Drosophila melanogaster: one gene and its partner. The protein of the gene in region 2 purifies or fractionates together with the protein of the main gene of each other region. This does not show direct contact. Each region holds a gene or a part of one and is shown on either strand. Other genes may lie near its edges.

Region 1 (6,870 bases), on a different chromosome or scaffold from region 2:
ATCTCGATCCTTACTGGGTGCTGGACAGCATCACGAATATGCAAATTCAGCGCTTTGGCAAATATCTTATGAAGAGCGCCATTATCTCGGCCGATGGGATCCGGTACGAGGATCCTAGGGATCGCGATGAGGACAAAACACAAAGAAGGCACCTTCACGACTTCGTCGATCCACCGTTTGTGCTGGACAAATAGAGATCAGTGGGTGCATCCACTTCACTTTACTAAATATTTAAGCTAGGACACACAGAGTACCATTTTCCCACACTGTTTCACCTTTTTGTGCAAATTACTCCAATGTAAATATAGTTATATTTAAATCCATATATGTATTTTACGATCTTAGTTTATTTTCTAGTACATTTTTTAATTTGTTTTTATACAGATTTTACGAAGGAAATAATATATCCCATAACTTTAAACAGAAATTATAAAAAAACACTTGTTCCAACTTCGTTCGTTATTATTTAAATAAATAAATCAATGCATTTTTCTCTATTTGCGATGAGAAATAAAAGCCCCCCCCCCCCCCTCAAATACAATAAAAAATATTCATTATTCTTCAGATGCAATTGCTTGCTTTATTTAAACGATTGAGGTATTTGTTGTCAGATTCAATTGTTGTACTCTTCGACTAGCTCTTGTTTGTACTTTGTGGCATCGACGATAAGTGAACTTGGAGTTAGGGACGATCGATCATGGCGCTGAAAATCGGGAGGCAACAAGCAAAGAGAGTGCTCTTTTACGGGCTGGGTGGTAAAAACAAAAGAAATACAAAAATAGGGTTTTTATTTTTTTTGTAAATATAGTTATCGCTTCTATTCTGGTTCTTTTCTTGTGTACAAAGTAGTGTGTGCAAAAGTAGGGTAAGATAAATGATACATATCAAAGTATAAAGGTTAATTTAAACGATATCATAAATGCTACAGAGGATTCCTATATATGATATGATAAAACGAAGTCAACTCCGTGCATCATACCATATTTAGTAAACTAAAGATCGACGGGGAAGTGGATGAGGAGTGGATGCATAAATGCAAGTGTTTTCCCAGTGTGCACTCTTATCCTTGGGATCCACCGTTTCCCAATTTAGGCGGCCTCGTCTGCATTTAGCATTCGTATCCGTCGAAACTCCTTTCGATGGAAGAAATTAAACTTATGCTTCTGCTGAAACATCATCTTATCGGTCATCTTGCGCAGGACAGGTGTTGGTGTTATACTACTATTGTGTTCGCTGCTGCTGTTGCTGGTATTATTGAGTGGTGTTGTTGGCTGCATTATGATGTTGGTTATATGCTTGTTGTTGCTGCTACTACTGCGTGTTGTTGTTGTTGTTGAGTGGAAGCAAACCAGCTACTTCTTGCCCTTGGTGGCCTTCTCGGCGGCCTTGGTGACCTTGCCACCGGAGGCATCCTTGAAGTTGACAGCCTTAATGACACCGACAGCCACGGTCTGCCTCATGTCACGCACAGCGAAGCGACCCAGAGGGGGGAACTCCTGGAAGGCCTCCACGCACAGGGGCTTAGAGGGCACCAGGTTGACGATGGCAGCATCGCCAGACTTGATGAACTTGGGGTTCTCCTCGGTGGTCTTGCCGGAACGACGGTCGACCTTCTCCTTGATCTCAGCGAACTTGCAAGCAATGTGAGCGGTGTGGCAATCCAACACGGGGGTGTAGCCGTTGGCAATCTGACCGGGGTGGTTCAGCACGATGACCTGGGCGGTGAAGTCGGCGGCTCCCTTGGGGGGGTTAGCCTTGGAGTCACCGGCAACGTAGCCACGACGCAGCTCCTTCACGGACACGTTCTTGACGTTGAAGCCAACGTTGTCTCCGGGAACGGCCTCCTGCAGGGCCTCGTGGTGCATCTCCACGGACTTGACCTCAGTGGTGATGTTAGCAGGGGCGAAGACCACAACGGTACCGGGCTTCAGCACACCAGTCTCCACACGACCCACGGGTACTGTTCCAATACCGCCAATTTTGTACACATCCTGCAGGGGCAGACGCAGGGCCTTGTCGGTGGGACGGGCTGGGGGAAGGATGGCATCGAGGGCATCGATCAGGGTCTTGCCGTCAGCGTTACCCTCCTTGCGCTCCACCTTCCATCCCTTGAACCAGGGCATGTTGGTAGAGGGTTCCAACATGTTGTCGCCGTGCCATCCGGAAATGGGCACGAAGGCAACGGCGGCTGGGTTGTAGCCGATCTTCTTGATGTAAGAGGACACTTCCTTCTTGATTTCCTCATAACGGGCCTCGCTGTATGGTGGCTCGGAGGAGTCCATCTTGTTCACACCAACGATCAGCTGCTTCACACCCAGGGTGAAGGCGAGCAGGGCGTGCTCGCGGGTCTGGCCGTTCTTCGAGATACCTGCCTCGAATTCTCCGGTTCCGGCGGCGACAATCAGCACGGCGCAATCGGCCTGCGAGGTACCAGTGATCATGTTCTTGATGAAATCCCTGTGTCCGGGGGCATCAATGATGGTCACGTAGTACTTGGCAGTTTCGAACTTCCACAGGGCGATATCGATGGTGATACCACGCTCGCGCTCAGCCTTCAACTTATCCAAAACCCAGGCGTACTTGAAGGATCCCTTTCCCATCTCCTGGGCCTCCTTCTCGAACTTCTCGATGGTACGCTTGTCGATACCACCGCACTTGTAGATCAAGTGTCCGGTGGTGGTCGACTTACCGGAATCGACGTGTCCGATCACGACAATGTTAATGTGAATCTTTTCCTTGCCCATGTTGGATGATTACACTATGGCTGTTGTGTGTATTCGAGTGTTGGATTGACGGAACGTTGGAACATTGGAAGGTTGCAGGGTTCGGCGGGTTGGCGAGCAAGAGAGGTTGGAATAAACAAAGGGTAAAACAATTCGTTAGCATTCGGTGGGATTACAACTACAATTATTAGTGGGTATAACACTTTCTCATTTCCCTAGCGTACGTTCGACTTTTGTTTGCATGCGCGAGCACAACCTAACCTCAAACTCTTGCAGCCGTACAAAACGTGTTTTTTGAGGTTAGGTCCAGTGCCCGCATGTAAGGGTGTGGGTAAAACGAGTGGGGCGCAACTACAGAAAAGAGCGTGCAAATAAAATTCCATATGGAAACTCGATTTTGTTTCAGTGATTTTGGTATTTTTGCTTTCGTCAACTGTCTTCAGTAGCAGAACTGAAAAATCATCATCATGTTAAATCGAAGAGTCCAAAGGAAAATTCCAGCAAATTTAATTCGCAAATACACATGTGCTTATCTGCCTATGCGTGTGTATATCTATGCCTGTGTATTTGTGTGACGCTGTTGCCGGCCGGAGGAAAAGTAAGAGAGGAATAGAGAGAGAGAGAGACCAAAATGGCGGATGTGCATTAGTGTGCGTGTGTGACTTGTACAAATGCAAGCGATCTCGCCGCGGTGGCACAATTGGTAATTGGAAAGAAATGAAAAAGAGAGGGGCACACAACGAATTATTCAAGAACGTAGTGCAGCGGCAGCCATTTTACCAAAACCAATTATGGAGTCGGTTGGAAATGGCGAAATAGCTGATGCGAGTGCCATTTCACCAGATATGCTAATGGGCTGGAAACCCAAAAAAGCACATTTTTTCGCTTGTTGCCAGGCGAATTTTTTTCGCCCACTTGACTCACGCCACTGGGTCGCCATTTTAGAATTCCATGCCGCAAAAAGAAAGAATAAGGAATATCTATAGGTCATGACAAAGGCAAGAGAGAAAGCACGTTTTTTTTTCTCGGTTAATGAGCACATCTGGTGGATGACCTCTGTGTCCGGCGTGGGCGTGGCAAAGTAATTACACACTAAGTGCACCATATTGCAGGGCGAAAATGCGGCCGGAAAAGCCGGAAAATTATTTTGAGAATGCTGGGAACTTTAACTGGGAACGCCAGTTAAAATTTTTGCCTTTGCAGACTTGCCACGTGTTTGCTTCTATGGCCACCTTTCACTTTGGAAAACCGCAGTTAGAGGTTATCTCCGGGTTTATTACACACACACAGGAAAAACACTGGAAATATGCACAAATTCGGCGTCTCAGCTGCATATTTGTTTATAAATTGTTTTCTGGCTGCAGTCCCGTTGCAGAAATTACTTAATTATAGCCTCGCAGGTAAAACTTACTCTCGAATAAGCTGAATGAGAAATCACGAAGTCTAAGCGGCGACGGATTCGAACAAAGTGAACGAGCGTTCGGCAGAGCTCAGCACAGGAAGCCTCGTTTGACACATGGTGTGACCGAAGCTACGCAACTGTCAAAAGAGCAGAAACCGTGTTCTCACTGCGGTGTTTCCACTACGCGCGAATGAAGCACTTCATTTTATTGAAATTTAAGTGATTGAAAGTGGCAAAATACAATAACCTAACGATTGAGGGATTTAAAAAACCTTGTTTGCTCGACATTGTTTTTATATGAAAAACTAAATAATCAGTGATTCCAAAAATATTTTCTACAAAACGATGTCTATAATTTCTATACGTAATATTGGAACACATATCTCTTAATATTTAAAAACTATAACAATTGCATTAGTAGTCCGCATTTTGAACTTTTAGACTAGAACCTGAACTTTAATTTGTATGTGAACCCTAACGTAATAGAACTTTAAATAACAATAGAAGCTTGAGATCGTTTAAATTTATGTAATACGTTTCATTTATTTATACATTTTTTGGCGTCCGTTGCTACAACTAAAATATGCTACAAATAAAACTATAAGTAATTTGGTATTGTATCAATTTATACAATATTGTAAAAATTTATAACTTAAGATCTCACGTTTTAATACTTTTTCTTCTGGAATTCATCAGAATGCTAATATTTATTTGAATTTGTAACTTACTGCTTAATATTTTTTGTTAGACTATTTTTTCACTCAGTTTTCACTTGTACTCAATAAATTTATTCATTGTGCATAGAACAAAAGTTGTTAGCCTGCCCCTTATATAGGACGCAATTAAAAGTTCCTAAGTGTTTTCCTAATTTTGTGAAATTAATTAATTAGTTATTAATAATATGATTATTGTTATGCTTGCGAAATCAGTTAACAATAAATGCAATTACCATCTTTTATGAAATGATAATTTGACAAAATTTTATTATAAATCGGTATCAATTAAATTAATTTAAATCTAGATCTCAACTTTTCTGTGTGACTGGAAAGAATTATAGCTAAAGCATTTAAAACCCACACATATAGACATTAGTCATTAATAAATGATGAGCCATCTTTATTTATTGTTTACATATGCAGGAAAGCTCACAACTGAGAGCTTTTTCCAACTTTAGACATTTTCGGCCTAGCCCCACCTGGCCACACTACGACGAAACAGAATAAGAAGCGACGTGGCGAAAGAGGCAAAAAGCGAATTCAATCGTTGAAAAATACCGAACCGGTCCGGTACTCAGTTTTTGTTGTAGAAGTAGGCGTTCGACGGCCTAGTTGAACTTGAATTATTCACCGATATCGCTTCAAGTGAACCCAAATAATGATGTGGCGCCTTGCTGGAGTGCTCCTACTAGGCTTCATCGCCATCTCGTCCGGAGCGGAGCAGGATGTCCTGGAACTGGGGGACGACGACTTTGCCACCACCCTAAAACAACACGAGACGACGCTGGTCATGTTCTACGCCCCCTGGTGAGTTAGTGAGTGGGCGTGGCCGGGCGCCATCCTACAACAAATGCATTGCGTGTGCGATTCGCGTATAATCCGCTTGTTGCGTCCGCAACTTAATTCGATTCCCAATGCCCAGTGCCGACCGATGCCCGATTTTCCGGCCATCGCAAGCGCAAAGTACACGTCAGCGTTTGCCTTGCTTTTGCCGGCAAATAAAGAAGGAACGAGTGACGGAACGAAACGAGACGCAAAGAGAGGGGCAATGATGATATGCCAGTATTGGTGCCGTCGGCCATTTTAGAGCGCGGGGTGCCAAAGTGCCTAGTTGGTACAATTTCCGTGCAATTCCTGCTCCACTTGTCCACTGGCTAATGATAGTGAGCAGGCATAGGGGCCCCAGTGTACATAGCGCATCTTTTATTATAGTTTCTTATGCCTATGCATTATACCCATAATCCCAGGAATGTGTAATTCTAAGGGTTAACTTAGATTTAGCTTGAAACTGGTTATCATAGTCTGAAACACTCACAGTTCTCATACAAATGTAATTTCCCAACAGTTTACACCAACCATATTAAAACTTCAATTTTAATTGCCTGCCTACTCACAAAAGTTATGCTGATTGTGCTATAAATTTCTCATGTCAGTAGACACATTTTTAACTTCCATCGTAATCCACACTGAACACAATAACCTTTTAATACATTTTTGTTTAGTACATAACACATATTTACTGTGCCTATTTACTCTCTTTTGAGCCATTTGTTTGCCCATTATCAGGGGTAAACTATAAGCTCACACTTGGACAATGAACTAGGTAAATTATTAGCGTTTTTTTTGCCGGCCGGCTTTCGAAATCCCCAAAGAGCTGTTGAACTACTTGGCATGGAGACTTGATTCCCTCATGACGAACCTTATCAGTATTCAAGCATAAATACACAGGGATGAAGTTGAAAAAGTTGTACACTGCAATAAAACTGCTCTTTTCATTATAACATAGTTAACTTAAGGCATCACTTATCTTTATCAAAAATGAATTATTATCTGCACTGCTAAGAGTGCAGACTATACTCTGCTGTTTCAAATAAGTACCAAGTCGTTTTTCTCTCTGTATGCCTAATGGGCACTTGTACTTGTGTGATAAGACAGTTGATAATTCCAGCACCCTTACTTTAATTACAAGCTAGTTTTTTGGGAACTTGTCTTCCCGTTGCCTTGATAACAAATGATGAATTAGATAGTA
Region 2 (4,265 bases):
ATCAAAAGCTATATATGTACGGGCGACCGGCTTTTGTAAGCATCACAAACTACTCTCTGCGGGGGCAATGTATTTTTCTGTACAACAAAAACTGATCTATTCACCAGCCACCCAAACAAAGGTGGTGGTTGGTTCTACGTTTGTAAATCCATAACGAGAATATTCGGAGCTATTGGTAGGAGAGAACGATCCTCTTTATGTTCACACCTTGGCGGCCGTACGTTCAGAGTCCGAAAAGCGTTTCAGTCCCGCAGCCAGGGACTGAGATCTTTAGGAACTACTGCACAAAATCACATTATTAGGAAGATTTATGGGTTTACCTCGATTGGGATTTGTTTGTTACCTTTTACTAACTACGGACTGCCTGCAATAAATTTTGTTAATATTTTTGTAATGTGCATTTTATGATGATGATATGATGATATTAACAAAGTTCTATTCAACTCGACAAAAAATCAAAAGATAATCTGTTTTATTTTTGTATATCTATAGCACAGCATACACACTTAACTTTATGTATTTATACAATGTATTGTAATTGCGTCAATTGCATCTACCGATCTACCATTAGGCACATTTCATTTGGGGCTCGATCAGTCCAGCAGCGACCAATACTGGAATACAATGGGTGGGTGGTTTATTGGCCCTTGGCCGGAACGGACGAGGTCGATCGATTGATTTATTCAAATAAGTTAATGCATACACACACACTTACTATACATATTTTTTTAAGAAAACTGAAATAACCGCAGAAATATGCAAGTAACGGATAAATTTATTATATCAAACATATTTTATTTGTGAGCAAAATGCATATAGATTTAATAAAAAAGTACATGGATAGAACGTAATGATCCAAATGATTTCGCTTGCATTCGGTTGGGTGGTGATCACGATGATGGTCGATGATGGGTTGGGCCTTACACAATATATAATTATCTATTATATATATTCAATATAGTGGGCTAAACTGGCGTGCAGTCGTCTCTCTGAACGTGGGCATCATAGTTCTGCTCGTTGATGAAAGTATGCGTGCACTTGGAGCAGTGGAAGCGGCGATGGCGGTTGGTTCCGGGACTCTCGTGCTCCCGCAGATGGGCCTTCATGTTGTACATCTGGGAGAAGCGCTTGTTGCACACCGGGCAGGCGAAGGGCTTGTCCCCCGTGTGGGATCGCATGTGCCGCTCCAAGTGAGCCTTGGTCCGGGTCTTGAAGCCGCACACCTGGCACTCCAGCCGTTTGGTCTCGCTGTCGTGGATCATCTTGTGCTTGTACAGGGCCACCTTGTGAACGAATCGCTTGGAGCAGACATCGCACTGGTATGGCGTTTCGCCGGAGTGCCAGGCCATGTGGTGCTTCAGCCGGAACTTGCGGCTAAAGCGTTCCGGGCACACTGGGCAGGCGAACTGCTTCACGGGCTCGTGGTTCTGCAGGTGCCCTATGAACCCGGAGTACGATTGCAGCGTCTTGCCGCACTGATCACAGACGTAGCCGGGAAAGTGCTCGCGTTTCGTGTGGACATTGTAAGCGCGCCGGCTGCTGAACTTCTCCGGGCAGCTGGGGCATTGTATGTTGACCGTGTATTCGCCGGAGCTTTCGTTGTCCTGCTCCTGGTCCTCGCCATCGGATATTATGTACTCTATTGCGCCGTCCAGATGTTCGTCAAAGTCACTCATGGTATCTTCCTTAAAAAAGTCTTCCTCCTGGGCCTCTTGCTTGTCATGTGGCAACAGATCCTCCTCCTCTATCTCGTGGGCCACCTCCTCTATCTCGTGGGCCACCTCCTCTACCTCGTGGGCTTCCTCTTCGTTAATGATAATCTCGTTGTCGATATCTAGCTCTAAGTCTACGGAGTGGAACTCATCCTCCTCCTCTGATTGTTTGATAATGAAGGTGTGCTCCTCTTCGGCCACTTCCTCCACGATGCCGGCGGGACCGACCAGGGTGACGGTGGTGCCCACGCTCTCCAGTTCCTGCTCCTCCTCGTCCTGTTGCTGTGCCTCCTCAATATTCCCATCGAATTTGCTTATGGTGGTCTCTCGGTCGAGATCGTCCTCTTTGTAGGAGGTCTGCTTGTGGTCCTTGGACATGTAGGGACTGTGGATCAGTTCCAGGATCTCCCCTCGCAGCTTGCGCGCTATTTGTATGGACTTGTGGTATCTGGCGAGCTTCTCGCAGCACTTCTTGCAGATCGTCGACGATTCCTCCGTGAGGACGTAATTCGTGCCCCGGGTGCACTGCAGTACCAGTTCGCTGATCAGCACCGGCGGATGTCCGACGGTATCGGTGTGAATGTCCTTCGGTACGCGTACCGAGAATTGACAAATGCAGCAATTCATATTTGATTGAAATTTATTTACACTTTCGGGGCAGTGTGACCGTGCCCTGAAGAAGGCTCCGATTGCACAGCTATCGGTTATCGACGATGTGATCTGGTTCAATTTCCAAATTTGAACTTTGGCTGCTAACCAACAAAGCAGATCTGAAACTCAAAATCAAAAGCTGAAAATTTGTAACACCCAGCGAAAAAACAAATCGATATGTAGCCATGTATTTACTAATTTTTTGTTGTATTATAAATTGCCAACAGGGCAGTTAGGAAAAATAAAACAAGCTTTCAAACGCCTTCACTGATACGCGTTCAGATTCTTTTTGGGCAAGATGATGTTGTAATGCTGGAATTTGGTCCAAGACAGCAGTATGTCCTTCGTCCTGCCGTGCGGCGCCTCCCCAAAAGTCTGCAGGCAGTCTCTTTAGTAATCAGGTTGATCGTAGCCAACTTCATCCACTTACCTTGCAGCACCCGTAAATTTTCATTACTTTCTTGTCCTCCTTGTTGCTGATGAACCCTCCACCCAGGCATTTGGCGCAAATTCCAATTTTGTCCATCTCCTTTTGGATTTCCTCAAAGATTTCCTCTGGCGACAGAACGATTAGAACACGTATTAGCTATACTGATTATTAGAACTAACCGTGGTCCTTGGAGGCGGATCCTCTTACAATGGTCCTGCCGAACCTAGTTAAACCGTGCATGTGAATCATCATCAAAAGGTACTTGTTCTTGCCTTTAGAAAGCTGAACTCTAGGAACATTTATCAAAAGGGCGTTTACGCGCGAAGAACTTTGCCTTCGAAGGGGCTTCAACAATTGTGAAACAGGTGCCAAAAGATTCAAGGTTTTCATTTTGGAAAAATTTTAGGAAAACGCACTGGAATTTAGATGAAATATTCCGAAAAGAAACTGGTATGAACGGTAGCAAGGCTCCAGCTAGACTGATTTTGTCAGAAGCCTTCCGGTCGTATGCTAAATTCAAGACTGACACGAAAATCGGAGCACATGTGATCATTCAAAAAGTACTAAGCCCTTGTATCTTGTGAAAGAAATTTTTGTATGAACTAAACTATAAATGCAAAATTACTCTTCTTTCTACTCTCTCCAGAAATGGAAATATCAACCATATTCCGCCAATTACAATCGCCTGTTCGATTACCCCTTAATAATATTGAAAGAGCGCTACTTTTATATTCTATTTTCTTTTTATTAGTACTGAATTTCCATTTTCGAAATTTATGCAACTTTATTGTTTAACGGTTATCTTAAAGTCCTTATAAGTGGTCCACGCTTGAAGTATATTCCTTGTCCTTGTGTGATCAGCACCGCCGAAAGTCTAGGGAGACCCATCAAGAACCATTAGCCGGTGCTTCAAGGACCAAGGATCCTCTACTTACCCTGGAGGTGCCATAGATCTTAATTTTTTTATTTTCTGCCTCGTTGAGAATCCTTCCACCACCGAGGATTTTGGCACATATGCCCTCGGGTTCCAGCTCCTCCAAAATCGAGTCGAAGACCGCCACTGAAAGAAGGATTTGTAAGACTGCTCAAGGTTAAGCGTCCAGCAGTGGAAACTCACAGTGATTGTCAACATCGGCGCCACGGACAATAACTCTTCCATACTTCGTGAAGCCATGCGTATGAATATTCACCAACAAATAACGATTCTGACCCTTGGTTATCTTGACCCGGGGAACGCCTACCAAACTTATCAAATCGGTTGAGTAACATTTTTCTAAAACCAAGTATATTAGGGCTTGTAAATCTTAATATTGAATATTCCTAAGCCTTACGAAACGGAGAAACAATATGAGGAAGCAGACGCAATGACTTGAACATTTTCATTTTATTTAACCAAAGGAAAAGAAACGAAATTTGTGTACAAACTGATTAATTTAGATCCGAAAAGGTTTAGTGCGAGCAGTTGCAAAGCT

Evidence for each region.
Region 1: the proteins of ZIPIC (region 2) and eEF1alpha1 purify together in Drosophila melanogaster (affinity purification with western blotting, with the first as the bait; one study listed by BioGRID). This does not show direct contact.

What each region holds. Positions count from the first base shown.
Region 1 is NT_033778.4:11,889,449-11,896,318, reverse strand, and holds eEF1alpha1 (eukaryotic translation elongation factor 1 alpha 1), read right to left. Parts: upstream 5,185-6,870; 5' UTR 5,075-5,184; intron 4,924-5,074; exon of another isoform or gene 4,854-4,923; intron 4,198-4,853; exon of another isoform or gene 4,135-4,197; intron 3,197-4,134; exon of another isoform or gene 3,124-3,196; intron 2,778-3,123; exon of another isoform or gene 2,765-2,777; 5' UTR 2,745-2,764; coding exon 1,353-2,744; 3' UTR 799-1,352; downstream 1-798. Other genes in the region: MCPH1 (microcephalin), read left to right, coding at 1-194; ERp60 (endoplasmic reticulum p60), read left to right, coding at 5,500-5,648. UniProt on the Drosophila melanogaster protein: This protein promotes the GTP-dependent binding of aminoacyl-tRNA to the A-site of ribosomes during protein biosynthesis.
Region 2 is NT_033777.3:30,034,463-30,038,727, forward strand, and holds ZIPIC (Zinc-finger protein interacting with CP190), read right to left. Parts: upstream 2,409-4,265; 5' UTR 2,340-2,408; coding exon 966-2,339; 3' UTR 778-965; downstream 1-777. Other genes in the region: ocn (ocnus), read right to left, coding at 2,628-2,738, 2,794-2,918, 2,973-3,183; janB (janus B), read right to left, coding at 3,578-3,667, 3,729-3,853, 3,911-4,066, 4,125-4,176. UniProt on the Drosophila melanogaster protein: Insulator DNA-binding protein. Recruits Cp190 and cooperatively binds to chromatin promoter regions to exert transcriptional regulator and chromatin insulator functions.